Linked DNA regions of Elephas maximus indicus. The protein of the gene in region 3 binds, or shares a complex with, the protein of the main gene of each other region. Links are inferred from orthologs where the notes say so. Each region holds a gene or a part of one and is shown on either strand. Other genes may lie near its edges.

Evidence for each region.
Region 1: SNRPG (region 3) and USP39 share a complex: the UniProt entries of both Homo sapiens proteins name them as parts of the U4/U6-U5 tri-snRNP complex. The link is inferred for Elephas maximus indicus from reciprocal best matches to the Homo sapiens genes SNRPG and USP39.
Region 2: SNRPG (region 3) and SF3B5 share a complex: the UniProt entries of both Homo sapiens proteins name them as parts of the minor spliceosome. The link is inferred for Elephas maximus indicus from reciprocal best matches to the Homo sapiens genes SNRPG and SF3B5.
Region 4: SNRPG (region 3) and DHX16 share a complex: the UniProt entries of both Homo sapiens proteins name them as parts of the minor spliceosome. The link is inferred for Elephas maximus indicus from reciprocal best matches to the Homo sapiens genes SNRPG and DHX16.

The regions. Positions count from the first base shown.
Region 1 is NC_064835.1:48,988,099-48,994,935, forward strand, and holds the start of USP39 (U4/U6.U5 tri-snRNP-associated protein 2), read right to left. Parts: upstream 3,017-6,837; 5' UTR 2,987-3,016; coding exon 2,719-2,986; intron 1-2,718. Other genes in the region: C17H2orf68 (UPF0561 protein C2orf68 homolog), read left to right, coding at 4,961-5,067, 5,148-5,634.
Region 2 is NC_064819.1:214,617,787-214,623,448, forward strand, and holds SF3B5 (splicing factor 3B subunit 5), read right to left. Parts: upstream 1,266-5,662; 5' UTR 1,137-1,265; coding exon 876-1,136; 3' UTR 519-875; downstream 1-518. UniProt on the Homo sapiens protein: Component of the 17S U2 SnRNP complex of the spliceosome, a large ribonucleoprotein complex that removes introns from transcribed pre-mRNAs.
Region 3 is NC_064835.1:65,894,539-65,902,042, reverse strand, and holds the start of SNRPG (small nuclear ribonucleoprotein G), read right to left. Parts: upstream 3,019-7,504; 5' UTR 2,924-3,018; coding exon 2,892-2,923; intron 1-2,891. Other genes in the region: protein FAM136A, read right to left, coding at 6,184-6,372. UniProt on the Homo sapiens protein: Plays a role in pre-mRNA splicing as a core component of the spliceosomal U1, U2, U4 and U5 small nuclear ribonucleoproteins (snRNPs), the building blocks of the spliceosome.
Region 4 is NC_064819.1:90,992,575-91,000,559, reverse strand, and holds the start of DHX16 (pre-mRNA-splicing factor ATP-dependent RNA helicase DHX16), read left to right. Parts: upstream 1-4,983; 5' UTR 4,984-5,170; coding exon 5,171-5,377; intron 5,378-6,591; coding exon 6,592-6,839; intron 6,840-6,936; coding exon 6,937-7,099; intron 7,100-7,110; exon of another isoform or gene 7,111-7,209; coding exon of another isoform or gene 7,210-7,236; exon of another isoform or gene 7,237-7,337; coding exon of another isoform or gene 7,338-7,402; coding exon 7,403-7,459; intron 7,460-7,609; coding exon of another isoform or gene 7,610-7,682; intron 7,683-7,985. Other genes in the region: PPP1R18 (phostensin), read left to right, coding at 185-395, 1,304-1,323. UniProt on the Homo sapiens protein: Required for pre-mRNA splicing as a component of the spliceosome. Contributes to pre-mRNA splicing after spliceosome formation and prior to the first transesterification reaction.

The DNA.
Region 1 (6,837 bases), about 17 Mb from region 3:
GACTCCACTTACATCAAGCACGAAACAAAACACTGTGCAACTTAATGGTACATATATGAGATAAAACTGTAAAGTAGAAAATAATGCAATGAAAATTCGAGACAGCAACTACTCAAGCAGGAAAGGAAGCAGATACAACCAGGAAGGGGCCTACAGGAGCTTCTAAGGTACTGGTACTTCTTAAGCTGAATGGTGTTAGGAGACAATTCTCTATGGGTCTCACTTTTCTGCACATCTTGTGACCAGAGGCACTGCCAGCCTCTGCTGCAGATCATCTTGTCAGGGATGTTGGTACAGTGAACAGCCTTGAAAGAGAGAAACAGTGTTTCCTTACAAAGTAAAGGCAAGGTTACTGTCCGTTATAAAAGATCCAGGTTCTCAAAGCTCAGGGTTCCTCTCCCGTGAGGCACCGTGTGTACAGGTGAACCAAGCCGCCCTGTGGGAACTGACTCAGGGAACTCACACAGATGCTGGTAGTCTCACCACTGCTACTGCTGTGAGTAATAAACTGTCCTTTGTCTTTGAACCAGGAGTTCCATATTTTTTATCAGCATCCATGAAACTGTGCCAGACTAACTTGTTAGCCTGCAAATAGGATAAAATCTTAGACCTTTCACAGTTCTTGGCAAGTGGTAGATTTATGGATATATATTCATGCTCATCTTTAAACGGTACCTGTTCACTGTAAATTCAGTCCATCTTAATGCCTGTGATATATTTCACAATTTTTTTTAAAGACATTAACAGTAACTGGAATCCTAATACGTCCACCAGAGAAAACAATCTCCTCACCACAATTATGCAAAATATCTCACAAACCATTTCCCTTGCCAGGAAGGGGATACCTGAGGCTGACACAGTTATTTAAGTAAAGGAAGTCAGAGAATACCCTGAAGTTATTATTCAAAGATAATCAAGCTCTTTCTATGAGCAGGAAGCCCTGGTGGCGTAGTGGTTAAGTACTACGGCTACTAACCAAGAGGTCGGCCGTTCGAATCTGCCAGGCGCTCCTTAGAAACCCTATGGGGCAGTTCTACTCTGTCCTATAGGGTCACCATGAATCGGAATCCATTCGAGGACACTGGGTTTGGTTTGGTTTTCTATGAGCAAGATGCTATACTAGACCCTGCGCATAAAACAAAAATATATCAAACAGATAACCTGACCAAGAAATTTAAGAGCAAATATTACAGTATAATCATATACAGATAACCAGTACCACAAGGTACAAGAGACCCCTCCAGACACCGCCCCCCTCCGCTAGCATGTAGATGAGTGATATACGCATCTGCCATTTCAATAGACTTCTACTAACTCACCAGAATACAAGTATACAGGAATATATTGAAGTCAAGAGTACAAAATTGGGAGAAGGAATAGAGGATGTAATTGGGTTGGACAGGAAAAGTTACAAAGGTGATAACCAGCTGCTGTGAAGTGGACTCCAACTCAGGGCAACCCCACATGTGTCCGAGTAGAACCGTGCTCCACATGGTTTTGAATGGCTGATTTTTCCGAAGTAGGCCACTGAGGCACTTCTGGGTGGACTCGAACCACCACCCTTTCAGTTAGCAGCCAAGCATTACCATTTCCACCACCCAGGGACTCCTCAGAGGTGGCAGGCACCTATTTGATGAGCGGTAGACTTTCAACAGGATTCCCTGAGTGGCACAAATGGTGAAGCACTTGACTACTAACAGGAAGATTGGTAGTCTGAGCCCACCAAGCAGTGCCTCAGGAGAAAGCCTGGTGATCTGCTTCTGAAAGGTCGCAGCCTAGAAAACCATACAGAGCAGGTCCCATCTGCACACATGGGGACGCCAGGAGTTGGAATCGACTCCATGACAACAACAGACTTTCAACAAGTAGGAAGAGAGAGCACTCTACACAGAAAACCAAGGCTGGGCGATGGTTCTCCAGATCTCACCCTCTCACAAGTACTAGGGGACACCGAAAGAGCCCAGAGGAAGGAGGCAAAGGGGGAATTCATGGAGGGAGTAACAGTTTCACTGGCAGGGCTACTTCCACTAATTTAGAGACAGACCAGAATATGAAACCCACCTGCCCAAACCAGAGTGACTCAATCTCAGAGGAAGGACCAGAATCCAGACCTCCTGACTGCTACACCCCAAAGGGATAACGGGGTAGTTTTATGCAGGTGCACAGCACTCAGGCTCTTAACTGAACGGTCTGATCCCAGAAATTACAGCAAAACTCACACACCTCAGCTTTGTTGTAAAAAGTGAAGGAGTTAACACCTGAGAAGTAATCAACCCAGTGCCGGACCCTCCATAGGGATTCAGTAAAGGCAGGCTGCTGTTAATATTAACAAAAATACTACAACTACAATTATTAATATTAGCGGTCCCTAAGTGGTGCAAACAGCTAAGCGCTCGGATACTAACCTAAAGGTTGTCGAGTGGAACCCACCCAGAGGCGGCTCAGAAGAAGGGCTTGGCGATATGCTTCCAAGAGGTCACAGGCTTAAAACCCTACAGAGTGCAGTTCTACCCTGCACACATGGGCTTGCCATGAGTCCCAATCAACTCGATGGCAACCATTCGGGTTTGGGCTTTTCATTACTAATACTAGTACTGTCCTCGTTGACATCTGGATTCCCCCACCCCCACTCCTTGCAGGGAAGTCTCAGAAAGTCGGAAAGAAAGGACGAGGAAGGGTGGAGCCCGGCCCAACCCGGCCCGGCCCGGCCCCGCGCACCTCGCACCTCCCGCTCAGGCTCCGAGTCCTCATCCGCCTCGCGCTCCCGCTTCACCCGCACCACTGGGTAGGCGGGCGCCGGGGCCTCGCGAGCGCTCGCAGGCTCTGCCTCCCGCTTCACGCGCACCGGGCTGCCCCGGGAGCTCGCCGCCTCGGGCTCCCGCTCCCGATCTCGCTCCCGCTTGACGCGACCCGAGCTGCTCCGGGACTCGGATTCGCGTTTCCCGCGGGCAGAACCACGAGACTCCCGCTTGGACCGGCTAGACATCGCCACTACCAGCCGACCCGCCCGCGCAGACGCCAAGCACGCTGGGAGTGCCCGTCACGCGGCCAATCAGGAGCGGCGCTGTTACCGAGCCCAGGGGACTCTACGAGTCGCTTATGGGGACAAATCGCGCCGCCGGAAACTTGCAGGAGTCATCGCGCTTTTAGCGTTTTGCTTGCCATTGCGAGCGCTCTTGAGAATGTTTTGCGGGCCTACAGCCACCTTACTCGTAATTTCCAGTTTCAAGAAGCAGGAACCCTTTATTGGCAATCGCGTTTCTGAATCAAAGAAGGTGTCATACGGCCCTAGATTTGTTCAAGATATTTGTGACTGAAAACCAGAATCGGGAGGCTGGCTCCCACGGTCTCGGGATGTCAGAGCCTGACGCTCCTGCGCAGTACAACTAGGCGACATCCCCTTTTTGCAGCACCCTGGTGGCCCCAATTCCGACAGCGTTGCTCTTAGTACCACCAAACCAAACCAAAAAAAAAAAAAAAAAGACAAACCAAACCCACTGTCGTCGAGTCGATTACAACTCACAGCGACCCCATAGGACAGAGTGGAACAGCCCCGCAGGGTTTCCAAGAAACAGCTGGTGAATTTGAACTGCCGAACTTTTTTTTTGGTTAGCAGCCGAACGCTTAACCACTACGTTGCCAGAGTTTCCCTTGGTACCACAGGAGTAAGCAAATGCCCAATCGGGGCAGATTTACCAAGAAGCTGGTAAAACTCAGGCTTCAGGGCCTGTCACCACCCCCTTCTAACCCCTGTACTAGTATGTTTCTTGTTTTAACAGCTCTGTATGGGGCGGTTCTACTGTGTCCTTTAGGGTCGCTATGAGTCAAAATCGACTGTACAGCAACGGGCTTGGTTTGGTTTCTTAATTGAGTTATAGGAGCCCTGGTAGCATAGTGGTTAAGAGATCGCTTCTAACCAAAAGGTCGGCAGTTCGAATCCACCAGCCTCTCCTTGGAAACCCCCTGGGGCAGTTCTATTCTGTCCTATATATAGGGTCATTATGAGTTGGAATGACTGGACTGCAACGGGTTTGGTTTTCCGATTACTGAGGTATAAGTGACATACAATGAACTGCACATGTTTAAAGCGTACAATCTGGTAAGCTTTGACAAATGTATACACCGGTGAAACCATCACTACAATTAAGATAATGAAGTGTCCCCCTGCCCCACCCATCCAGCTATAGACTAATTTGCATTTCCTAGAGTTTTAAATACACGGACCCTTACAGTACGTACTCTTTTTTTTGCGGGGTAGGGGGGCTGGTTTCTTTCACTCAGCATAATCATTTGGGGATTCTTCCACGTTGTTGGTTTATCAACAGTTCATTCCTCTTGATTGCTCAGTAGTATTCCATTGTGTTGATGTAACACAGTTGGCCCTATTTTAATCATAAATTCCTACCTTTTATCTTTTTTTCAAAAAGAGCTCGAAAATTATATAGGTCTGGCTGGCGGCACGTCTTCGCCCAGGCCGCCCAGCACTTTGCCTCCTACCAACCTAGCAGGCGCGTGCTATCCGTGTCCCCATTTACAAGTGCGGAGACTGAGGCACTGGGGGATTAGGTCACGCGGCTGGTGATGGAGGTTCACAGTATCCTATCACCAGAATAAAGACAGGAAGGCTCCACAAGGGACGTTGAGTAATACAATGGGTGATTTGTACTTTCCTGATGTATTTTGGCTTCTGAGCAGTAAGCCTAAGTCTTGTCTCGCATTGATAATGTTACAAAGGAAACAAACAGCCCGGTCAAGTGGCGGAAGCGCTTCCCTGGCCTCCCCACTCCGCCACTCCCTTGTCATTTCAGCGCGAGCAGCACTCGGCCTCCTTGGCCCGTCCGGGACCGGAAGTCACGACGCGGAGCCGGAAGTTGAGCTAAGGGAGAGGCGGGCCTCTTCCGACGGGAGGGCGGCCGTTGAGACCGTTGAGGCGGCTGCTGCTCCGCGAACAGGGCTTCAGATGGAGGCGGCGCCGGCTCCCGGGCCGGGGCTCTGCTGCAAGCCTGGCGGACGACTGGACATGAGCCACGGCTTCGTGCAGCACATCCGACGGAACCAGATCGCTCGGTATCGCCCCTCCCCGCGCCGGCGCCACCCCCTGCCTGGCCCAGCCGGGCCGCCCCTGACTCCCGCTCGGCTCCCCATAGGGACGACTACGACAAGAAGGTGAAGCAGGCAGCCAAGGAGAAGGCGAGGAGGCGGCACACGCCCGCGCCGACGCGGCCCCGCAAGCCCGATCTGCAGGTGTACCTGCCGCGACGCCGAGGTGAGGCCGCCCGCCCCGCCTGCCTCCTCCAGCCCGCGCGCCCTTCCGGCCCCGGGCCCTCTGCTGCGACGCACTCCCCTTCTCTGTATGGAAAAAAACCACTTCTCGTCCCCCGAGGCTCCGATCACGTCGCCCCTGCCCGGAACCTCTGCTTCAGCCGTCCCCCACCTCGGTTTAGTTATTCTCCCCGGGGAACAGGGAGGACTCATGGCCCCCACTTAAAAATCCCGATTGCTGTTACAGGAGATACTTGTAGCAAAAAGTTGTTTGTGGGTTTGCCCCGCCATACCGTACCTCTGTATCTGCAGTGCTTGGCGGAGGGGAAACCTGGCCCAGCTATAAGTGACCAGGACACAATTGTGGAATAAAACCCAAACCCAGTAAATGGATTTTTCCCTAGCTTCACTGGGATCTAGAGATCAGAGTAACTAACAGTGCAATAGTGCCTTTACCTTTTCCATACGCTAACTTATTTAGTGTTCGTAGGATCCCGTAAGATGGAAATGATTATCACATCTGTTTCACAAGTGAGGAAACTGGGCACAGGGAAGTTAAGTAACTTGCCTGAAATCTGAGAGCTACTAAATGGCAGAGCCTGGATTTGAACCCAGGCAGTGGCTCCAGAGACTGTTCTATCCACTCCTCCAATACCTTCCAATCCTATTCACCAGACAAACAGGCATTGTATACCTACTATGTGAAAGGACTGTGCTGGGTTCCCAGCAATGATATAAAGGTAAATAAAACTGCTTCTAATTGGTAGCACACCACACACACATACACACAATTCAGGGCCCATAAGAAGATTGGGACTTTGTTTTCCTGCGTCATCTCTGTGTGCAAGGGCTCCAACTGCCTCCCTCTCTTCCCTCTCACTTTGGTTCATCCCTCCAGATGGTTCTACTCACACAGGCAACCCAGACTATGAGGAGTCCGGTGACAGCAACAGTAGTGGTGGATCTGAGCTGGAGCCTTCTGGCCATCAGCTTTTCTGCTTAGAATATGAGGCGGACAGCGGAGAGGTCACGTCAGTTATCGTGTATCAGGTACGCCTCCTGTGGAAACAGCTGCAGCCTAAAGGCCCTGGGCCATGGTAGGCGTTACTGCCAGACCCTGAGCTGCTGTCTGACTCAGGGCCAGTGGGAAGAGTGCATTCCACGTGGGAGCATAGGACTATTGGGCAATGCTTTACAAACACGACTCCCTCCCATCTCACAGTGATTTTCAGAAGGGAACAGGGAAGGCTCGTGCCCCCAGTTGAGAATCACTATTACAGGGGATAATCTGGGAAATGACAGAGCCAGCAGGAAGCCGTGAGCCAAACGGAGTTCTGTGAGAGCATTGTCTGGGGATGGGGCAGGCTGCCTTTCCAGAAGAGGCCAGGCCCTGAGCTTCCTGACTCTTCCTCCACGTAGGACGATGACCCCGGAAGGGTGAGTGAGGAGGTGTCAGCACACACGCCTCTGGATCCACCCATGCGAGAGGCCCTCAAATTGCGCATCCAGGAGGAGATTGCAAAGCGACAGAGCCGACACTGAGGGGTTGAAGGCATTGTCTCCAGGCTGGGTTTA
Region 2 (5,662 bases), on a different chromosome or scaffold from region 3:
TGATGGTTCGGTTTTTTTCTGTTTGGTAGGCTTTGGGTTTGTTTGGCCTCCTCCCTACCGCTCTTCCCCGCTCCCTGTATAATGTAAACCACAAAAGCCTGGAAAAATGCCTGACACGAAGAGCTCAACAAATATTTGCCGAATGTTGAATGAACGAAAGAGCTCATTTGCTAGCTTGTCAGTCCTGACGACAAAGCGAAAAGTCCCAAAAGATGATGCAATTTACACAGAGAGAGAGAAAGACAATGACAGCTAAGACTTCAAAAATGGGAGAAAAGGGTGGGATACACTGATCACAAACCTCAATACTGACAGTATTATGGCGGTAGAAAAAAATCGTTGAGAAAATTCGGGATGAGGGAACATCATAAAATATGCGCAAGGCGGATTTAAGCGCCTGGCACTAAATGCTGGCCTTGAAATGCCCGTCATCTCCTGCTCGGCCTCCCAGGAAACCTTAGTCCCCAAAGCCCTCCCTGGGTCCCTCCACACTCGAACACATGTAGTCCACACCAAGAGAGTGAACAATTTCTAAACTTTATAGATAAAACGAAAACGGCAATCAAGTAGCCAAAAAACGAGCCTTCAAATCCCGTCTCGCTCCAGTACCGCCTCCCCTAACGCTTGCCGGCTCTAGGATCTTTCCACGATCCCAGTTCTCAGAAGTCCTGATTGTCTCCCACCGCTGTGTTCCGAAGGGTAAGCAGGAAGGCAGGTCAGGCAGGACGACCCTGGGTAACCATGTTTGTTCGAGGAAAGCGCGAGCAGCCGGAGTCATGGAAAATCGGTCTTCTTGGGGCAGGAATGCGCTGGAACGACGGGAAAAACGAGGAACGCTGGGAGATGTTCCCGCACAGCGGTGTTAATGCGGCGTCTCAGTTCTCCTCGGGCTTGTCCGCTGGCGGCCCGCAAGGCTGCAGCATCTTCTCCATCAAGTTGAAGCGGACTCGTGCCTTGCTCTCATTCTCCGCAATGGCGAAGTAGTTGAGAAGGTCGAAGTGGCCCATGTAGGAGCAGTACGAGTCCCGGTGCTGGTTCACCAACCACTCCCACTTGGTGGTGTCGGCGTGGCCGGTGCCAATGTACTTGGACTGCAGATGCTCCAGCTGGCTGTGGATGGTGTAGCGGTCCGTCATCTCGCCGTGTTCCCTTTTGATCCCGGGTCGGAGGCCACAAAACAGAAGTAGCTGCTCTGGGGTGTCAGGCCTGATAGACGGAAATCTCCGGACCCGCGCAGTCGCAAGATGATGGCGTCAGAGCGACGAAGCCGCGTTGACTCTTGGCCGTAGTGCTCAGACGGGGAAGCGGAAGCGTATTCTGCTACCTAATTGGGGTTGCCTAGGCGACAGAACAAGTGCCCCGCCCCTATAGGGACAGTCACGCCCCCTTCGTAGAGCGTTGCATGATGGTCCATTTAGTGGCTTTTGGCCGCGCCGTTTCACCTGGGGTCGTTGTTTGCTGGAACTGTAGTCCCCCTGGGTTCGTGCATGCAGGTTTTTGGGATCCCTTCTTGGTTATAAGAGGCCACGGGCGGCTTGGGGCTGGAGGAAATGGGGAACGCAAACTGGATAGCACTACAATGGACTCGATATAATTATGCTTTCGGAGTTCATGTGGCGGTACGGTAGCCCCTTTGCAGCCAGAGGTCGATCACCCTAAAGTCAGGAGATGCGAATTCTGGTCCCAACTCTGCCTCTTAATAAATTGTACGGATTGAGGGAATTATTTCAATTTTCAGGCCGCCGTTTCCTGCTTGATGACCAAAGTACAGTGCCAGTTCTGACACGTTCCGGCTTCCACACACAAGCTCCTCCTTCCACCCTAGCTTCTTATTTTGAGATCCTCCCTCCAACTCCTCACCCCATCCTACACGGCCCCAGCCTATACTTAATGTTACGTGCTGCTCGCGTCTCCAGTTCTTTGTACAAGCTGTTCTATTTGGAATGCCTTTGTTCTCTTGGCAAACACTTCTCCCTTTCAGTCAGCTCAAAAGCATCTCTTTGAAGCCTGCTCTGGCTACTCCAGACAGATGTAAACTCCTTCCTTTTTATATCTCGTACACCTCTTCTTTATTATCGCTTTATACTTTGATTTTTGGTTTAATAATGTTTCCTCGTGAGAATAGAAATTCCTTGAGAAAAGAATCCTATGGTTCTTTTATGATATTCCCATAGCCTAGCAGAATAGTTGGGAGAGATTGTAGTCTCAAAAAAACATTTGATGAAAGGGTAAACAACTGTATAACTAAATAGAAAAAAAAAAATAGAAGGAACTCTTTATTGGGAGAGATAACGAAAATATTTTTGTTCTGCTGTTTAAACTTTGTCATCACATATCATTTCTAAAGTGTAGACAATAATGTTTAGACAATATTATAAAGCATACCTTTGAGTTCACCAAGCAGAATTTTCAAACATTGCCATTTTTGTTATTATTTTGCCTTTGTTTGTTTTAAAGAAAACGATACAAATAAACTTCAAGTTTCTGAGTTCTTAATCTGTACACGTCAGGACAAAAACCAAACCAGCTGTCCTCTAGTTGATTCATGGCGACCCCAAGTGTGTCAAAGTAGAACTGCATTCCGTAGGGTTTTCAACGGCTGTGATCTTTCTGAAGTAGATATCCAGGCTTCTCTTCCCAGGCGCCTCTGGGCCCACCCGCCAAACTTCAGGTTAGCAGCCAAGCATGTTAACTGTTTGCATTTCCTAGGGACTCAACACTATTCTGAATTTAATCATTCCTGAGCCTGTTTTTCTATTGCTGAATGTTTTTGTATAGGTGTTAGTGTAACACATGTTGTAAAGTAAGGGGGAAAACCTCTGGATGGTGGCTGGGAGAAGCTATGCTGGCATTTCCACTTCTTCATGGCCCTAGTGCCGCTGCACTGACCACTGCACTGACCACTGCACTGACGGATAATATCAACATCATTACAGGGGCTGTCCACCAATCCCGATGGACCACGCCCCTGAACATTGCCATGAACATGCCCTGAAGAAGAACCCACCCCTCTTGTTTCCTCCCCATATATAAACCCCTGTGCCTGGAGATCAGAGAGGCGTCTTGGAGACCCAGGGTGAGATCCTTCACTTGGCCAAGCAGGTAAAGATTTTCTTCCTTCACTTTTGCCCAACTCGTGCCTCAGTGTCATGCCAAATGAAACCTAGAGGTCTGAAAACAAAAGCTTTACCTAAATGAAACTGAGTATGTATTGTTATGGAGCCTCTGGCTGGTGCAAACGGTTAATATGCTTTGCTGCTAACCCAGAGTTTGGCATTTCCAGCCCTCCCAGAGGCACCTTGGAAGAAGGCCCTGGTGATCTACTTCTAAAAAATCAGCAGTTGAAAACCCTACGGAGCGCAGTTCTACTCTGACACACATGCAGTTGCCATGAGTTGGAATCAAGTCCACAGCAACAGCTTTTTGCGTGTGCGTATTGTTATAAAAGTTGCTTCTTTTTTCACACTTCAGTATCCATGTTGATATATTTAAATTTAGTTCAAGTTTACTGCTGTGTAGTTTGCCACTGAATGGACATACTACAATATGTCCACTCTTTCACTAATGGACTTAGTTTATTTCCAGATTACTGCCATTAGAAACAATACTGCAATGAATATTCTTGTACGTATATTCTTAAACAGCTGAAGGAGTTTCTTTAGGGCATATACACAGGAATAAAGTCGCTAGGACATACAAATGAGTGTCTTCAAGCTTTGCTTGACACTGCCAAAATGCTCTCCAAAGTAATTATACCAATTGACTCTCCACCAGCAGAATGAGAATTCCTCTTGCTCCACGTTCTTTTCAATACTTGGTGTCATGGATTGAATTATGTTCCCCCCAAAAAGTGTGCATCAACTTGGTTAGGCCATGATTCCCAGTATTGTGGTTGTCCTCCATTTTATGATTGTAATTTTATGTTGAGAGCATTAGGGTGGGATTGTAACATCCCCCTCACTCAGGTCACCTCCCTGATCCAAGGTGAAGGGAGTTTCCCTGGGGTGTGGCCTGCACCACCATTTATCTCTCAAAAGATAAAAGGAAAGCGAAGCAAGCAGAGAGTTGGGGACCTCATACCACCAAGAAAGCAGCACCAGGAGCAGAATGTGTCCTTTAGACCAGGGGTCCCTGTGTAAATAAGCTCCTCATCCAGGGGAACATTGATGAGAAGGCTGACAGAAAGAGAAAGCCTCCCCCTGGAGCCGACGCCCTGCATTTGAACTTGTAACCTACTAGACTGTGAGAAAATAAATTTCTCTTTGTTAAAGCCATCCACTTGTGGTATTTTTGTAATGGCAGCACTAGATGACTAAGACAGTTGGTGTTGTCAGACATTTAAAAATTTTGTATACCTGAATGGTGGGTTGTCATTTCACTGTGGCTTTAATTTGCATATCCCTAAATTTTTTTTTTTTAATTACTAGGAAAGTTGTGTTACCAATCGCCAATCTGACACAATGGGTCCTTGTCTTTTCCCGAGTAAAAATACACGCGAAAGACCAACTTTATCTTCGGCAAGCTTTGTTTTGCTTGAGTCCAGTAAAAGAAGTCATTGGGGGACTAAGCCTCCACAAGGCTGACTTGAAAAGGGAAGCAAGGCTAGGGCTTATATGGGTTTGGTGGAGGCAATAAAGTAATGAATATTTAGTGGGCTTCTTTCACGGTACTTCTCAGTGCGCGCATCTGGAATCCAAGATGGAACCCACTGATATTCAAGATGGAGTCCTCTTGGCAGCCCTTGGCATCACTCATTATGGCATATAGCACAAGTGCACTGATCTTTGGCACTACATCACCATGTTTGGAGAGCTAAGAAAGGTTAAATCGCGGTCACACTTCGTTATGTGCATGCGGGAGCCTGTAAAGGGGGGGAAAAAAAGGAAGGGACTAGAAAAACACTAAGAAGGAGATAGTAATTCACAGGTTGTTTCAACCTTATGTTGACAGTGTGTGGTTCCTGTTTACCCAACTTGTAGATGGTAATCTTTTAACAGCTCTTTTGTTCTGCCAGCACAGTTAACCCTATCTGTCTCAGTCGAACATCTTCCAACTTGTTCTTTGGCCTATTGGGTTTCTGCTTCTGTGAACTACATATTCATATCCTTTGCTCATTTTCTTATTGGGATGTTTGTCTTTTTCTTACTAATTTTTAGGAGATCTTTATTTATTAAGATACTAGTCTTGCCAGTTATATGCAATGAAAGGATCTTCTCCCACTCTGTGACTTATCTTTACTCTTTTGTTGTGGTATCTTTTGTTGTACAGAAGTTTTTAAATTTTAAAGTAGTCAATTTATGAGTCTTTCTTTATGGTTTATGCTTTTCTCATTTGGTTTATTATTTGTTTTCTTCTGGTGCCTGATGGCTTCTTTTGTTGCTCACTTTCTATTTGTTCAAGTTGTAGGGACAGTTCTCTGCTTTTGGCTCTTTCTTCTTTTTGTATGTGTGCATTTATCGATATAAATTGGCCTCTGAACACTGCTTTTGCTGTGTCCCAGAGGTTTTGATAGGAAGTATTTTCATTCTCGTTGCATTCTATGAATTTCCTTATTCCCTCCTTGATGTCTTCTATAACCCAGTCTTTTTTCAGGAGGGTATTGTTCAGTTTCCAACTATTTGATTTCTTTTCCCTAGTTTTTCTGTTATTGATTTCTAGTTTT
Region 3 (7,504 bases):
AAAACAAAAGCAATGTATTTACAATATATTAATCTACATTAAACTAAACCTTTATACTGATGTGAATTATAAAAACATTTTTGTTGCTCAATTTCGACCTCATTTTCAGTGGTTGTATTTTAAAGCCATTAACAGAAAGTGCAGATTTGGTTACATTTTGGTTAATTCCCAAACTGAACAAACCATGTGAGGACATCAGAGAGTAACCAAACTATTACTCAACAGGTATTTTATATTTGAGCCCACAGTCGTTTTAATATTAAGATACCAAGCTTAAGTGTTCAGGATATTCTTCACCACATAAGTATACCTGAGCAAAACAAATGTGTATTTTTTCTTCTAAATAACTTTTTTGTTCTTTAAAATATATACAGAACATACACCAATTCGACAATTTCTACACATACAATTCAATGACACTGATTACATGCAACTTGTGCAACCATTTTCACCCTCCTTTTCCGAACTGTTCCTCCGTTAACAAACTCACTGTTCCCTACGCTTCCTACCTAACCTTTTTGCTGTTGTCAATTTGATCCCAATGCTCAAGGTAGATATTTTTGGTTTAAAGTTTAAAGATTATTCCAGGGAAATAGTTCTCGGGATTCATCCAGCTTCAAAGCTCCAGAAAGTCTGGATTCCATGAGAATTTGAAATTCTGTTCTGCATTTTCCCCCTTTTGATCAGGATTCTTCTATAGTCTTTGATCAAAACACTCAGTAATGGTAGCTGGGCACCATCCAGTTCTTCTGGTCTCATTGCAAAAATAAATATTTTGAAACTAAACAATTTGAATTAAAAAAAGAAAATCCCATCTCAGCAGGACTGTATGAGACTATTAAGTCATGCAGTCAAATCAATTTTTATCTTTTCCAGTTACTCTCAGGCTAGAAAATATAAAATTTCATTCAAACTTAATGTATAGGATATCATGGGAGAATTCACAGATATGTCACAAACCCTAAAAGAAGGTGTAAGTAAACATTTACAGTAAAAATGTTTATACAGTATAATACATAAGGTTATATTTTCATTGTACATATTATACAAGTCACAACATACACATGAACTCATTTAACCCTAGCAACAACTCTGCCAGTTATATACTATTATTACCACCATTTTATGGATAGGAAACTTAGGCTTATTACGGTTAACCAAATTCTCCAAAGTCACACAACAGGTGAGTGAGAAAGTCTCAGCAAACACAAATGGTTCAGTTTGATTGGAGAACTAGGTTTTCAAATATCAGTGGTATAAGAATGGATGATCTCCTTGGTGGTGGATTTAAGAATGCTGTGTTAAGGAGTCTGGACTTTATTCTGCAGAAAATGAGTCCATCACTGTGGCTGTAATTTTTAAGAGGTAAGAGGAAGAATTCAGTTAAGCCAGGGTTATCTCAAACTCAGCATCACTGACATTTGGGGCCAGATAATTCTTTGTTGTTAGAAGCTGTCCTGGCCTCTGCCGGTTAGCTGCAGGCAGCAGCAGACCCCGCTCCCCAAGCTGAGAACCACTGAGTTATCCTAAACCAGGAAGAAGGTATGAAGTTGTAAAAGAAGATGGTATCTGTGATAAAGGAGGAAGAAAATTTAAAGACATTTTAGAGGCAGATCTGACAGGATTTCACAATTCATTAAATCAAGGGATTAGAAGAGCAAGGTATCAAAACTAGTTTCATCCTCAAATTCTGAAATAACATCTACTAAGAATCAGAAATCTAAAATTACAAGTAGAATGATCCTTTTATTAAAAAAAAATAATTACCATTTCATCAAGTCCTGATAAATCCTGAGGATACAAAATTTTATCAGCCCATCAATAAAATAATTTTAGATGATCGTTTTTTCGACAATAATTTCCACTTTTCTTAATGTTAATGTTGGGAGTATGATTTAATACTTAAGCCTTTAACAACTCCAATTAAGATTAATGGACAGAAATTTCGTAAAAAAGTTGGCTTTGATGCAAATGTATATTTAAATGTAAAATTATTAAATATCAATTCTTTCCCAAGTCTGACTTCTTTAAGGGGCTGGTAATAAATAAACTATACATAAGGCAGACCAGGTGGCTGACCCACAAAAACTGATCCTTGGATGCTAACCCTTTGTGCAATCCAACTACTACAGCCAGAATTCTGGCGCTACATGGTATAAACAATATAGAGAAGTACTCAGGAGACACGGAACATGTTACGCTCACTCAAGAAGTGTTTGAGGAGGTTAAGGCTTCAAACTGGGTCCTGTATAAAGCAGGAATATCCTACTTAAAAGTTCCGTTTGATTTTACTGGGTGCGGGGGTGGAGGGGGAAACAACCCTTCTCCCGATTAGAAAAATGAATGCTCTCTCATAATTCCGATGATAATAGCACAAGACGTTAAAGTTTAAGTACAAGAAGGCAAGAAAAAGGAATTGGATTTTTAAGTAAATGCTCAATCAACACAAACACACTCTCTAAGATGAAAGTGGCTTTTGACTCCTCATATCCTATAAAGACTTCCATTCCAGCCACCTTATCCAGAACATGATGCTGTTCACGATGTTCCACAAAGGCTGGCGTCGAGGTCCTCAAGTAACGAGGAAGGCCGTGGAGATGTGGGGCCGGGAGCTCGGGGACAAGGGAGGCAAATGGGCTGCATGCAGGTGCTTTTCGCGGCTTCTGGCAACCAGGCCGAAACGCAGGGTCCGTGCGGCCTTGGGCTCCGAAGCGCAGGGCCCTGACGGGGATCCGGCGGCCTCCGACCGGAGCGAGGGGCGGTGCAGGGGCCCATGCCCACCACTCGGCCTACGCACGCCGGGACGCGCTAAGGGAAATGGAGGGGGCGCCTAAGGCACCTGTGGCACGCAAAGAAGCTGCCACTGCGGCTGGGCCTTGACACTTACTTACTTTTTCAACTCGGGCGGGTGAGCCTTGCTCATCGTGGCTACTCGGGAGGTTCAGCGCCGCGTTGAAACAGAACTCGCGCCCTCCCTCACGCTCCGGCGGTCGGCTGGCGCTTTTGCGTCTGACGTCATCTATCCTGTTAGCCAATGGACTGATGGCAGCGTTCACATTTCACCTCGCGATACTTACCGGAAGCTTGAACGCGCCTCTGAGCTTCAAGCTTCCGGTTGCGTCGTAAGGGATTGGTTAGACAGCCTTTCTCAATTCCGTTTCCCCTTCTGTGAAATTGAGATAATAGTCCCGTCTGGCTTCTGAGCTACACCAGCCAATCCCGTCGGGGTAGATGGCACTGTTCATCTTCGTCATATATATACCAAATGAAAACAGCCCTGGAGTAGTTATGGCTAGCTGCCGTCTAGCCGTCCCCTGATGGTGAACCTGTGCACAATGAGATTGGACCTTTTTCCTTGGCTGATTTTTTTGGACATAGATAACCAGGCTTTCCTTCCCAATCTTAGTCTGGAAGCTCCCCTGAAACCTGTTTGGCATCATAGGAACACGCATGCCTCCACTGATTAAAGGGTAGTTGGAAACCCTGGTGGTATAGTGGTTAAATGTTACTGCTGCTAACCAAGAAGTCGGCAGTTTGAATCCGCCAGGCGCTCCTTGGAAACTCTGTGGTACAGTTCTACGCTGTCCTATAGGGTCGCTGTGAGTCGGAATCAACTCCAGGGCACTGGGTTGGTTTTGGTTTTTGGGGGGCTGTGCATGAGGTGCGTTGTCCTGGAATCGAGCTTGGACCTCCTGCATGGAAGGCAGGAATTCCATCACAGAAACTCCACTCTCTCCACCCACCCCTGGAGGAGCGAATCCCTAATGCTTCCTTGGCATTTATCACCACAGCACAGTATCACGTCAAATCCAGGGTTGCAGTAAGCATGAATTAGTGACCTCTCTCCACTAGAGTGACAGGGCTTCAGTCTCCAAGAATTTGTATCTTGAGCCCTGAAATGTATTCCCCATTGATGGCCCAGCAATTCTTGGAACACTGCCTCTATTTTGTAGTCATTCATAGAACCCTGCTTAATGTGCCATTGCCCCCACATATGAAGCGTGAGGTGTGGCACACAAAGCTCTGTATTGAGGTACCCATTTTCCACATCAAGCACACAAGTGTAAAAGGTGGTCCCTGACTTGTTCCCAGTTGTGAGGCTACTCCAAAACAGAAGAATCCACATTTATGAGTAAAACATAGCGGGGATGACAAAAGACTTAGGCCAAAATAGTAGAGTTCATTTCTGCTTTAAATACCTTGCTGATTCTAAGCAGGGGTGGTTCTCCAAAATTTAAATTCATTCCTAATGTTCGAGAACGCCTGCTGAAATACCAAGTACAGTAAGAACTTAAACTCATCAGTTATTTTGTATTCTTTTGGTACTCACAATCCTAGACATTGGATTTTCTCTAGACGGGTCAGAGCTGTGTACCTTTTCCACATGTTGCCATTAGTGTTTAGTTGAAACTAGAGACCTGACATGGATACCAAGTTTTTTTTTTTTTTTTTTTTTCCATTAATGGGCTTCAAGTCATAGTGCCCCAACCTTCCCTCAAAGTTTTTCTCATTTACAGTTGTCTTGCATCTGAACCATAACACAAAATCAATACTACTCTTCTGGACATCTTAAGAACTTATTTCACACATTACAAGGAGAAGCACCCTGAGAAAGTACACATTTGTTGTTCGGATATGAAGAAAGAAGCACAATAGTGTGGGGAAAATTAAACCTTATTTATTTTTTCTAATTAAACCACTAGGAAAATATATCACAGCCATGAAACAGCAGACAGGCTACAATAGCACTTCAAGTAATAAATTGGTAGAAAGATGACAAAGGCCTTATCAAAATGGTAAGGCGTCACTGAAGCAGGAACACTGCGCACTGCAGAGGCCTCAGGCAGAAAGTGGTATTTGGTAATGGGGGGCTGACCCTCCTTTGCTCGAAAGGAGCCACAGCTCTCCCTAGCTCCTGAGTTACTTTTCCTCCCTTGACTTTCATGTTGCCAGGTATTGGCTTAACAGGGCTGTTATTTCAGGGGGCTAAGCAGGCAGCTGGACACATCATCAGGAAACACCAATCACTCGAAAACGACGTTATGTTGGTAGAGCGCCAACAAAAACGAGGAAACCCTAAATGAGACAGATTGCCACAACAGCTGAAATAATGGACTCAGACATGCCAATGATCATGAAGACGGCACAGGACCAGGCAACACTTAGTTTTGTTATACATAAAGTACCATGAGTTGGACCCGACTCGATGGCAACTAACAACAACAAAAACAACAAGAAGTAAGTAATGCTGGGTTTAGGCCTTCATTTCATTCAGTTATATGAAAAACTAGGTTTATCCAAATCCAGCACAACTTTCTTAATTAAGCAGCCGACAGTTTCTCTTTCATCATTCATTCCCAGATATTGGTATGTATCACAATCAAAACCCCTTTTCCTTCAAATGAGTAGTGTCATTGCAAGATTGTCCTGTCACTCTACTGCAGACAGCCTCAGAGGCCACCAGAGCAGCCAGCGAGAAGGAAGTTCTGCTTCCCATACCCAGTGTGACACGGTCTCCCGTTTTTGCACGGTCCCAGGCTGAAAGGTGCAATATATGAGAATTTCAAGAAAAGCACATCTTGACAGTCAGATGGCCAAAGAGCCTTTCAAAGTTTTCATCCAACTACCCTGTCTCCCAGCTTGACATCTTAATCAATATCAGGCTCTTGGATATAAAACAAAACTAAGCAAAACAAAGACCCAGATCTCTGTTTTCCACTTCTGCATTACTGATCTTATGGATTCTGTTTTACAGCTTATGGAAAATGGGGTGGCGATACTTCTTGTAAACAGGAGGTTGGCAACAAACAGAAATACTCTCTTCAAACACCACCAGGTCATAGGTAGGCTGGAGGAACATGCCAGCCTGTTGGTACTTATGTGAGAAGCAGAATCTGGTGTGTTGGAGGCTCTGGCTTGATACAGCTGCTAGGATAAGCACTTGCCACATATAATTTAGGCTGTAAATAACTCTCCTGTGCTACCTACAACCCAAATTTTAGCACCAGTTTTTCCCACTTTACTTGCTATGGATTAAAACCTATAAAAGAACCAGCATCCACAGAGCCAGGTGACATAGTCCTTAAACTTGCTGCCATCCTTAATTTCTTCATTCCTAAACCTCACTTAAAAAACCAAAATTCCCATCCTGCCCTCATTCACAATGGCCACTAGCAAAGACTTTTATTTTGCAATGGATGAGAGAGACTCCTTCATCTTCTTGGTCATGGACGGGATGAGATGCATGTGGTCATCCACACACTTGGTCACACAGCTCTCCAGCTGCTGCTTCACCACAAGTTCCTTATTCCCTGCATCCATTGAGTCTCTGGCTTTGTCATTGCAATGCATGGTACACCGGGCCAGGCGGTCCTGTGGTAAGAAGGAAGAAGGCAGAAAAGGCTGAGAGGCTGCCTCCATTTACCCTGGGCTACAGGCTTGACATACGTTATCTTGACCAATTAAAGAGACACTGTAGTGCAAGTTGGGGCCCTGCTGACTCAGCTGCTAACTGGTCAGCAGTCTGAACTCACCGGCAGTTCCTTGGAAACCAGATGGGGCAGTTCTACTGTCTCACAGGGTTGCTATGAGTCGGAATCAACTTGACGACAATGGGTTTGGTTTTGGGTAGTACAGCTGGAGTCCCCAAGTGGAGCAAACAGTTAACGCACTCAGCTGCTAACTGAAAGGTTGGAAGTTCGAGTCCACCTGATGGTGCCTTGGAAGAAAGAGCTGGTGGTGATCTACTTCCAAAAAATCAACCACTGAAAACCCTACGGAGCACATTTCTATCCTGACACACAAGGAACTGCCATGAGTCAGAGCTGGCTGATGACAACTTGTTTTTGCTTTCTTTCTATAATGCAGTTACTCAAAACCAGGTAGGAGTCTCTGGGTGGCGTAAATGGTTAAGCATTCTGCTACTAACTGAAAGGTTGGTGGTTCAAATTCCCTCAGAGGTACCTCAGAAGAAAAGACTTGGTGATCTACTTCCAAAAAGTCAGCCATTGAAAATCCTATGGAGCACAGTTCTACTCTGACACACACATGGGGTTGCCATGGGTTGGAATGGACTTGATGGCAGCTGGTTTGGTTTTTACTCAAGACTACCCTGATTGAAGCAGACAGTGGTGCCAGGAGGGCCCAGACTAAACAGCACTACAAATAAACCGGAATAAACTGTACACAGTGCTTCTAGGACGCGAGAAGTTACTGCAGCTCAGGGGTCCAAGACCACACAAAGACTTAAAACATCTTGATGCTTTAATGTCTGTTCATGCTACTGAAAAACACTCAATTCAAAAAATATTATTGAGCATCTACTATATGCCAGGCACTCTTCTAATTATGAGAAATACGGCAGTGAGTAAGGCAGTTCCTGCCCTCATAGAACTTGCATCTAGTGAGGGAAGGTAGACAGACAAAAAAAATAAGTGGAGATGTTGAGGTAACAATTGGTTATATGAATCTGGATTTCAGGTACAATGTGTGGTCTAGAAACTGA
Region 4 (7,985 bases), on a different chromosome or scaffold from region 3:
GGTTTTCAAATAAGATTGAAGACGGGAAATCTGGGATTGGAGAGCCAGTATCAAAAGGGAAACTGCATGTCAGAGTGGCTGAGCAGGGGAGAGTCGTCAGCATGGCGCCCTAGCCCAACCCCTGCCTCCCACCCAGCCAGCTTCAGGGCTGACCTCATTTCCACCTTCTTTCTTTCACACCCAGTTAAAGATCTCCTTCAGCGAGACGGCCCTGGAGACGACGTACCAGTACCCCTCCGAGAGTTCGGTGCTGGAAGAGCTGGGCCCAGAGCCGGAGATCCCCAGTGCCCCTGGACCCGCAGCAGCCCAGCCCGACGAAGACGAGGATGAGGAGGAGCTGCTGCTTCTGCAGCGGGAGCTCCAGGGCGGGCTGCGCACCAAGGCCCTAATAGTGGGTGAGCGAGGCTCTGCCGCGCCGAGCGCGCCACCTGGTGTTGGGGGCTGGCACTGCAGCCTAGGAGGAAGGGAAGGGCTTAATGTTGGCGCTGGAACGGGCTCGGCAGGACCTCTAGCCCAACCCACTCCTTTACAGATGGGGAAGCTGAGGCACTGGGAAGCGAAGTGCGCAGCAGGCCTCCAGATTCCAAGATCAGGGCTTTTTTTCGGTGCTCTAGTGTAGACTCAAGGCAATGGGCAATGGGAGTGTAGTTCAAAAAACAAGATCAGACAAGCTCCTGTTTGAATTCCAGCTTGTCTCTTACTTGTGCTGTGTCCTCAGGGAAAGCATTTGACCTCTCTGGCCTCCATTTTCTCACCTCTGAAATGGGGTTAATAATAACTACCTCTGGGAATTGAGAGGATTAAATGATTTTTGTGAAGCACGCAGAACCATGGCTGGATACAAAATTATTTTATTTCACTTCTCCCGGTGTTACTGTGGAATTAAGGATTATGTGAGTGCCTGAAGGAGCCCCGGTGACGCAAATGGCTAAGCACTTGGCTGCCAACTGAAAAGTTGTCGGTTCGACCCCCTATAGCAGCTCTACCAGAGAAAGATCTGGCAATCTGCCCCGATAAAGATTATAGCATAGAAAACCTGACGAGGCAGTTCTGTTCTGTCACATGGGGTCGCTATGAGTCTAAAATGACTTGACCGCACCTAATAACATAAGAGTGCCTAGAACAGAATGCAGTACAAGGTAAATGATTGATGGTTGCTGTTACTGGTAGTAACAAGCACTCAAGACGAGGAAGAGGTTATAGGATTTGATTTCCTATATGCCAACTGCCCTTTAACTTGGGGCAAGGAGGGCAGGAGGCAAAGGCCCTCACTCATTCTCTATCATTATTGCCTCTTGTACAGATGAGTCCTGCCGGAGGTGACCCTCCCCCACACAGGGAAGATATATTGCCCTCCTTCCCAGAACTGAAGATCCTGGAGCCTAGAAGATCTTGGGCAGACAGACCCTGAAAATGAGCGTGGCAGGGAAGAACAACCAACATCCCCCAGCTTGCTTTTCTCGTCCTGTTTATGGGGGCAGAGACAACTGCTCAACTTCAACCCTAACCCAAGGTCCCTGGTGTGTCAAACGTGCTGGTGCATCTAGGTGATCCAAGAGTGAGTCCCAAGCCCTGGACAGGTGCACAGAGCCCACTGGGGGTGTGTGTGAAGATGGAGGACCCCCCATTTCCATGGGCACAGACACTGTCCCTACAGCCTTCCTTAGCTCCCCTCCCCACCAGGTACTCTCAGGATTTAAGCACTCATCTATGTCCCTGGGAGGCCTGGCCTTCACTCCGATCCCTAGATCACCACCCTTGTGTTTACAGCTCCTGCCTCCTCTCTTGACCACAGCCTGGTTTACAAACCCCACCAACTCCCAGCCCCATGCTGCCAAAACCCCACGTTTACAAGCCACGCCCACTTGCCGAGTCCACGTGGATTTCCTCTCCCCCCTCCTTCAGTTGCCTCATTGGGAGTCGCCTGGGGCGTGGCTCCTCCCACTTTTGCTCAGTATTACTGTGCCTCAGTTTTCCCCAAGAGGGAAGGCTGGGAATCTTGACTTTGTACTCCCAGATAGTTATTTAATTCTGTTCCTCCTAGTGGTTCACAATTGAATTGTAAGAGTGTGGGGTGACTAAGGAGGCACCTGCCTTTCCTTCTTTATGAATGTGGTTTTGTTTTTTAACTTTCCGTAATAAAATGGAGCTTTCTCCGACTCTCGTGTTGCTTCTCTTTCTTTAGAAAAAAAGAAAAAGTGTATGTGGAGGAAAGGCTTCGGGTTCCTCATTTCCAAGCCTCTCTCATCTTCCCATTGGCAGTGAAGAGGAAGGGGCTGTGGCTGTGGGAAGGAAGAATAATGGAGGATGAACCAGGAACTCAGCACTGAGTATAGAAGGGGCTTTAGGAGAGCCTTGCATGGGTTTCACGTGCAGGACAAGCAGATGTGAGGAAGGACAGTTGAGGTGTTCAGTAGACTAGAAGTATCATGAGGGCAGACTATGTCAGTTGGGTTCACTGTGGTGTCTCCACATCTGGCACCTAATAAGCACATAATTACTTCTAGAATGACTGAACAGATGAATTCATGAAAGGAGCTATAAAAAATAAATCTGAAGCACAGGACACTGAATTAAAGGATTGCAATATCCAGATGCTGGCTGCCATGCAAGCAACTGTAATGTGTGACACAACTCATGTGGCTACTGCAGGAGCTTTTTTTAGTCTAAGGTTTGGGGCCATCAACAGTCAGTCCTCTGAAACTGCTGCAAAATTTAGTGACTATCTACAGAAGGTCAAGTTCCTGGAAGAGGGTCTCCTCTGATAGGCAACAGATTTTATATTCTAAAGGGTTAAGAACCACCATAATTCATGGCTTTGGTACCCATAGTTGACATTAGGGGATTTTCTTATTTCAAAGAATCTATCTTCTATGTGTAACATCTGCTATAGTTTACCTATTTTTTCAGTTGCCATGAAGTTGATTCTGACTCATTGTGACTCCATGTGTGTCAGAGTAGAACAGTGCTCCATAGGTTTTTCAATGGCTGATTTTTTTTTTTTTTTCAGAAGTAGATTGCCAAATCTTCTCTTCTGAGATACCTCTGGGTGGACTTGAACCACCAACCTTTCAGTTAGCAGCCAACCACGTTAACTGCTTTATACCACGCAGGAAACATTTTACCTATGAAGTTATTTATTAGCTCTTCAGGCTAGTAAAGGCATAGTTGAGTAGTTATAGTCCTTTTACCACTACACAGGATGCCTCATCCAGTCTAACCAGAGGAGACCCCCCTTTGTTAAAAAACAAAATGTATTAGACAAATTAATCTTAAGCATATATGACAAGCAAGGTAACAAAAGAGTGAGCAGTTCAGAGAGGGTGTGGGTATGGAGGGGAACAATTCTTTTATCAGTAGCAAATTCAGTAAAGATTCTAACCAGTTGTGACCTAGAAAAGCTGGGGCAGGAAGCTCTAAGATACCAGGGGTGGTGCTCTCAGTCCACCTCTGAAACAGAAAACAAGGCATCCAAGAAGTCAATGATATGGATCCCCCTGTGCCTTTTAATGGAATAACAACGTTTCATTTTCCAACAGTAGTGTCTGATAAGTCCAATCAACCACAAGAGTATGAAGGAGGGTCAAACAGGTGAGCCAGCAGAGCTTCAGGTAACAAGTTTGCTTTCAAATAAGCAACCATCAGTGAATTACTCAAGCTATTACCAAAAGTGCAGAGTTTGCTCATTCCTTAGTTTGGATTCCCACCCCCCGCCCCAACAACTTTCTGAGCATCAAGAAAAGAGAACATCTTTGCTTTTCCCCCCAGTTCCCAAGTTTCTTCTGTCTGGAGGTCCCTCCTTATACCTAACCTGTGTTCACTCCTGCTGCAGGTACGGGTCCTAGCAAAGGTCCCTTCTCATCACTGGCTAATCTTTCAGAAGCATGGGCCTGAATTTCCTATTTGAAATATAACTCCTCTCCCCCTTACTTGCTTTATTTTTGGTTCCATAGAACTTACCTATTTTACATATTACCTATCTTGTCTGCCCGCATCCTCAAATGTAAATTCGGTAACGAATTTTTGTCTGATTTGTTCTCTGCTGTATCTTCTGCAACTAAAAAAAAAAAAAAAAACCCGCTGCAGTGGAGTGGATTCCAACTCATTGCGACCCTATAGGACAAAACAGAACTGCCCCAAAGGGTTTCCAAGGAGTGCCTGGTGGATTCGAACTGTCAACCTTTTGGTTAGCAGCCATAGCTCTTAACCACTATGGCACTAGGGTTTCCCTTCTGCAACTAGAACTACCTCAAACAAACAAACAAAACCCCACCAAATTCATGGCCGTGGAGTTGATTCTGACTCATAGCGACCCTATAGGACAGAGTAGAACTGTCCCATGGGATTTCCAAGGCTGTAAATCTCTAGGAAGCCAGCTGCCACAACTTTCTTCTGCAGAGTGGCTGGTGGGTTTGAACCGCCGATCTTTTGGTTAACTGCAGAGCACTTTAAACAATTAAAACCAGTTGCTGTGGAGTCTATTCCGACTGACACTTTAACCCCCCAAAAAAAACCACTGCCGTGGGGTCGATTCCGACTCATAGAGACCCTACAGGACAGGGTAGAGCTGCCCCACACAGCTTCCAAGGAGCGCCTGGTGGATTCGAACTGCCAAACTTTTGATTAGCAGCCATAGTACTTAACCACTAAACCCACTGCCGTCGAGTCGATTCCAACTCATAGCGACCCTATAGGACAGAGTAGAACTGCCCGATAGAGTTTCCAAGGAGCGCCTGGCGATTGGAACTGCCGACCCTTTGGCTAGCAGCCACAGCACTAGGCCACCATACTTAACCACAAATAAAAAAACTCAGTATTTGTTGAATGAATGAGTGAAGCACCCACGAGCTGACCAGCAGGGGGCGATAGCACGATTGGGTAGAGGAGGAAATGGGGGGAGGAAGTGCTTTACTCCGAGCTTCTCGTACGGTAACGCGACGCTTGAACTTGTTCGGCCACCGTAGTGCTCAGGCCGGAAAAGCGCGTCCGCTTCCGGCTTTCGGGGTCCGGGAAGACGGACTGGGTTTGTTGGAAACTGAACCCGGAGGCCGTAAGTGGGCTCCTTTGCGGAGTTTAGGGTCCGGCTCGGGGGTCCAGGCCTCTAAGCAGACTGGCCCCAGCTCGGCTCGTCCGGACGCTTCAAGGCTGGGAGTGGTGACCGTAGGTTGCCATGGCGACGCCGGCCGGGCTGGAGCGCTGGGTGCAAGACGAGCTGCACTCGGTACTGGGGCTCAGCGAGCGGCACGTAGCCCAGTTCCTGATCGGCACCGCTCAGCGCTGCGCTTCGGCCGAGGAGTTCGTGCAGCGTCTGCGAGACACCGACACCTTGGACCTCAGTGGCCCGGCCCGGGATTTCGCCCTGAGACTCTGGAACAAGGTGTCGGGAGAGGTGGAGCGCGACTGGGGCGGTGCCTGGCGTGGGAGCGGTAGGAGTAGGGGTGGAGCAGGGGAGGAGCCCTACGTAGGTCCTGGTGAGGCTGGCCTAAATGTCTGTCCCGCAGTTAAGTAACGTCAGTTCGCCAGGTGTGTATCCGTTGTCCGTTGTCACCCAGGTACTGTGCTAGGTGCTGGGCGTCCAGCTCAGTGGAGAAGATCGAGGAGAAGGCTTTAAGTATGTTACTTTTAGGCTGCGTTAAGTGCTATAGAACAGTGTGTTAAACTTGAACGTGCTTACGATTCATCTAGGCCCCTTGTTTAAAACGCAGATTCCGATTCAGGAGGTCTGGGGTGGGTCTCAGTTTCTGCAATTTCTAATATGCTCCCAGGCGATGCGGATGCTGCTGGTCCACTGACCACACTTTGAGTGGGAGGCCATAGAAGAGATTTGTGGGAAGTGCTGTGGATGGAGAAGAGGAATTAGTGACCAGAGAAGGCAGGTCCCAAGAGCCCCTAGAATTTGTCAGGTAGAGAAGGGGGAAGGAGTAGTGGTATAAATAGTGAGCTCCTGGAGCACAGGACTGTGTACTTCTTGTCTTTGTATTCCTACCACCTAAGTTCCTGCCTTGTAGAAAGAGTGAAAGTGTTCAGCATATTCAGAGAATGGCAGATAGCCTGGTGTGGCTGTGGTATATGCTGCATGGCGAGAGATGAGGTTATGTACGTGCCATGTGGACAAGACTTTCTTTTCACCAGTTTATCCTTGGAGTTTGATACAGTTCGGGGCATGTGACAAGCCTCTGCAAAACAACCCTTGTAGCTTGTCAGCCTTTTTTGTAGGAATGACCCAATCACTGGGAAGAACAAAGCCAGGAGAAAGAGGCTGAGCAATTGAGAATTGGCCTGAAAATGTAAGCTCCACAAGGGCAGGAATTTTTATCTTTTTTGTTTATTCCTTGTCTGTAGTCCCTAGAAAAGTACCTGAAACATAACAGGCTTAATAAATGTTTGCCAAATGAATGAGAGGACGTTCAAAAGTTGGAGGGTCCTATTAAGGCTAAGGAACATGATGTGAAGCCATGGGGAAGAGAGGGGGCAAAGGTTGGTTTAAGAGCGAGTAATTCCTCAAAGGGAAATTAACTTAGGCACAGGGCTAAGTAAGTGGGCAGAGGTCAGGAGTTGCTCGCACCCCATTACCTTCCCCTCTCCTGACAGGTACCACGGAAGGCAGTGGTAGAAAAGCCAGCTCGGGCAGCTGAGCGAGAGGCCCGAGCCCTGCTGGAAAAGAACCGATCTTATAAGTTGCTGGAAGACAGTGAGGATAGCAGTGAGGAGACTGTGGGTAGGGCTGGGAGCAGCCTCCAGAAGAAGCGTAAAAAACGGAAACACCTCAGGAAGAAATGCCAGGAGGACGAGGAAGAAGAGGAGGAAGTGATCTCTGAGAAAGAAAAGAGAAAGACGGGGTAAGTTAGAAGCAAGATGAGAGGGGATGGGGCAGGTGGATGATGGGACTATAAGCCCTGTGGATGCCCTTACTTAATCTCCTGGGCCGGGCTGCAGGGGGAGTAAACAGCAGACGGAGAAGCCAGAGTCAGAGGATGAATGGGAGCGGACAGAGCGCGAGCGCCTTCAGGACCTGGAGGAACGTGATGCCTTTGCTGAGCGCGTTCGGCAGCGGGACAAGGATCGGACTCGCAATGTCCTAGAGCGGTCAGACAAGAAGGTGCATAGGAGCCAGAATGTTCTGTAAATCCCCAAGAAGATCCCTGGGTCAAATCTGATGTTGGGTGTGATCCCAGAGATGGTACGAAGACAGGGATCATCTCTAGCAGTATGTTCATCTTCGGGTTCTCTGCTAAGGTACCTCCCTGCTGTACCTGCAGCCATAGAGATTCCTTACTGAGGGGATATTTCTCTGTGAGGGGGCACATCAGAATGATCCTTTGCAATTCTAAAGGGGGATGGCGATGGGTTGTCGGGGGGCTTCTTGCCCTCACAGCCCTCCCCTCTTGGTTTCTTCTCCTAGGCTTATGAAGAGGCTCAAAAGCGCCTCAAGATGGCTGAGGAAGACCGGAAAGCCATGGTGAGTCCCAGGGCCCATGAAGCCAATCAGAAGGCAAAAGGAAATACTTTCTGATGGCGAGATTAGGGGAGGGAGAAAGGATACAAAAGAAGTACAGTGGGGATGATGATGGAATGCCCAGGCCTCTGGAGGATGGTATTTGGTTGACAGGAGCCAGCTGAGCACAGAGGAACTTGGAGAAGGCCATAGGATGGAATCAAGCTGTAGAGGGAAGGAACCATGGGTGAGAGCTACCCACAAACCCTCCTTCACTCTTTACTTTAGGACCAAATCACAGTATGTATTAGGGAGATGTGAACCTTCCTTGTTCCTGGGACTTAGCGGGACTTACTCAAAAGGCAGCTGCGATGTCATCAACGGGTGGCTAGAGGGCAGGGGCAGAGCAACTGTCCCAGCTCCCCAGGGATGTCCTGACCACCATCTCCAAGTACCTTTCTACCACCTAATCCCTGCATCCCCCACATGGCTTTATGATGTCTCTGTGGCTTCCTGAGTTGGTGTTCTTACTGGACAGGGGCAGAGCCCT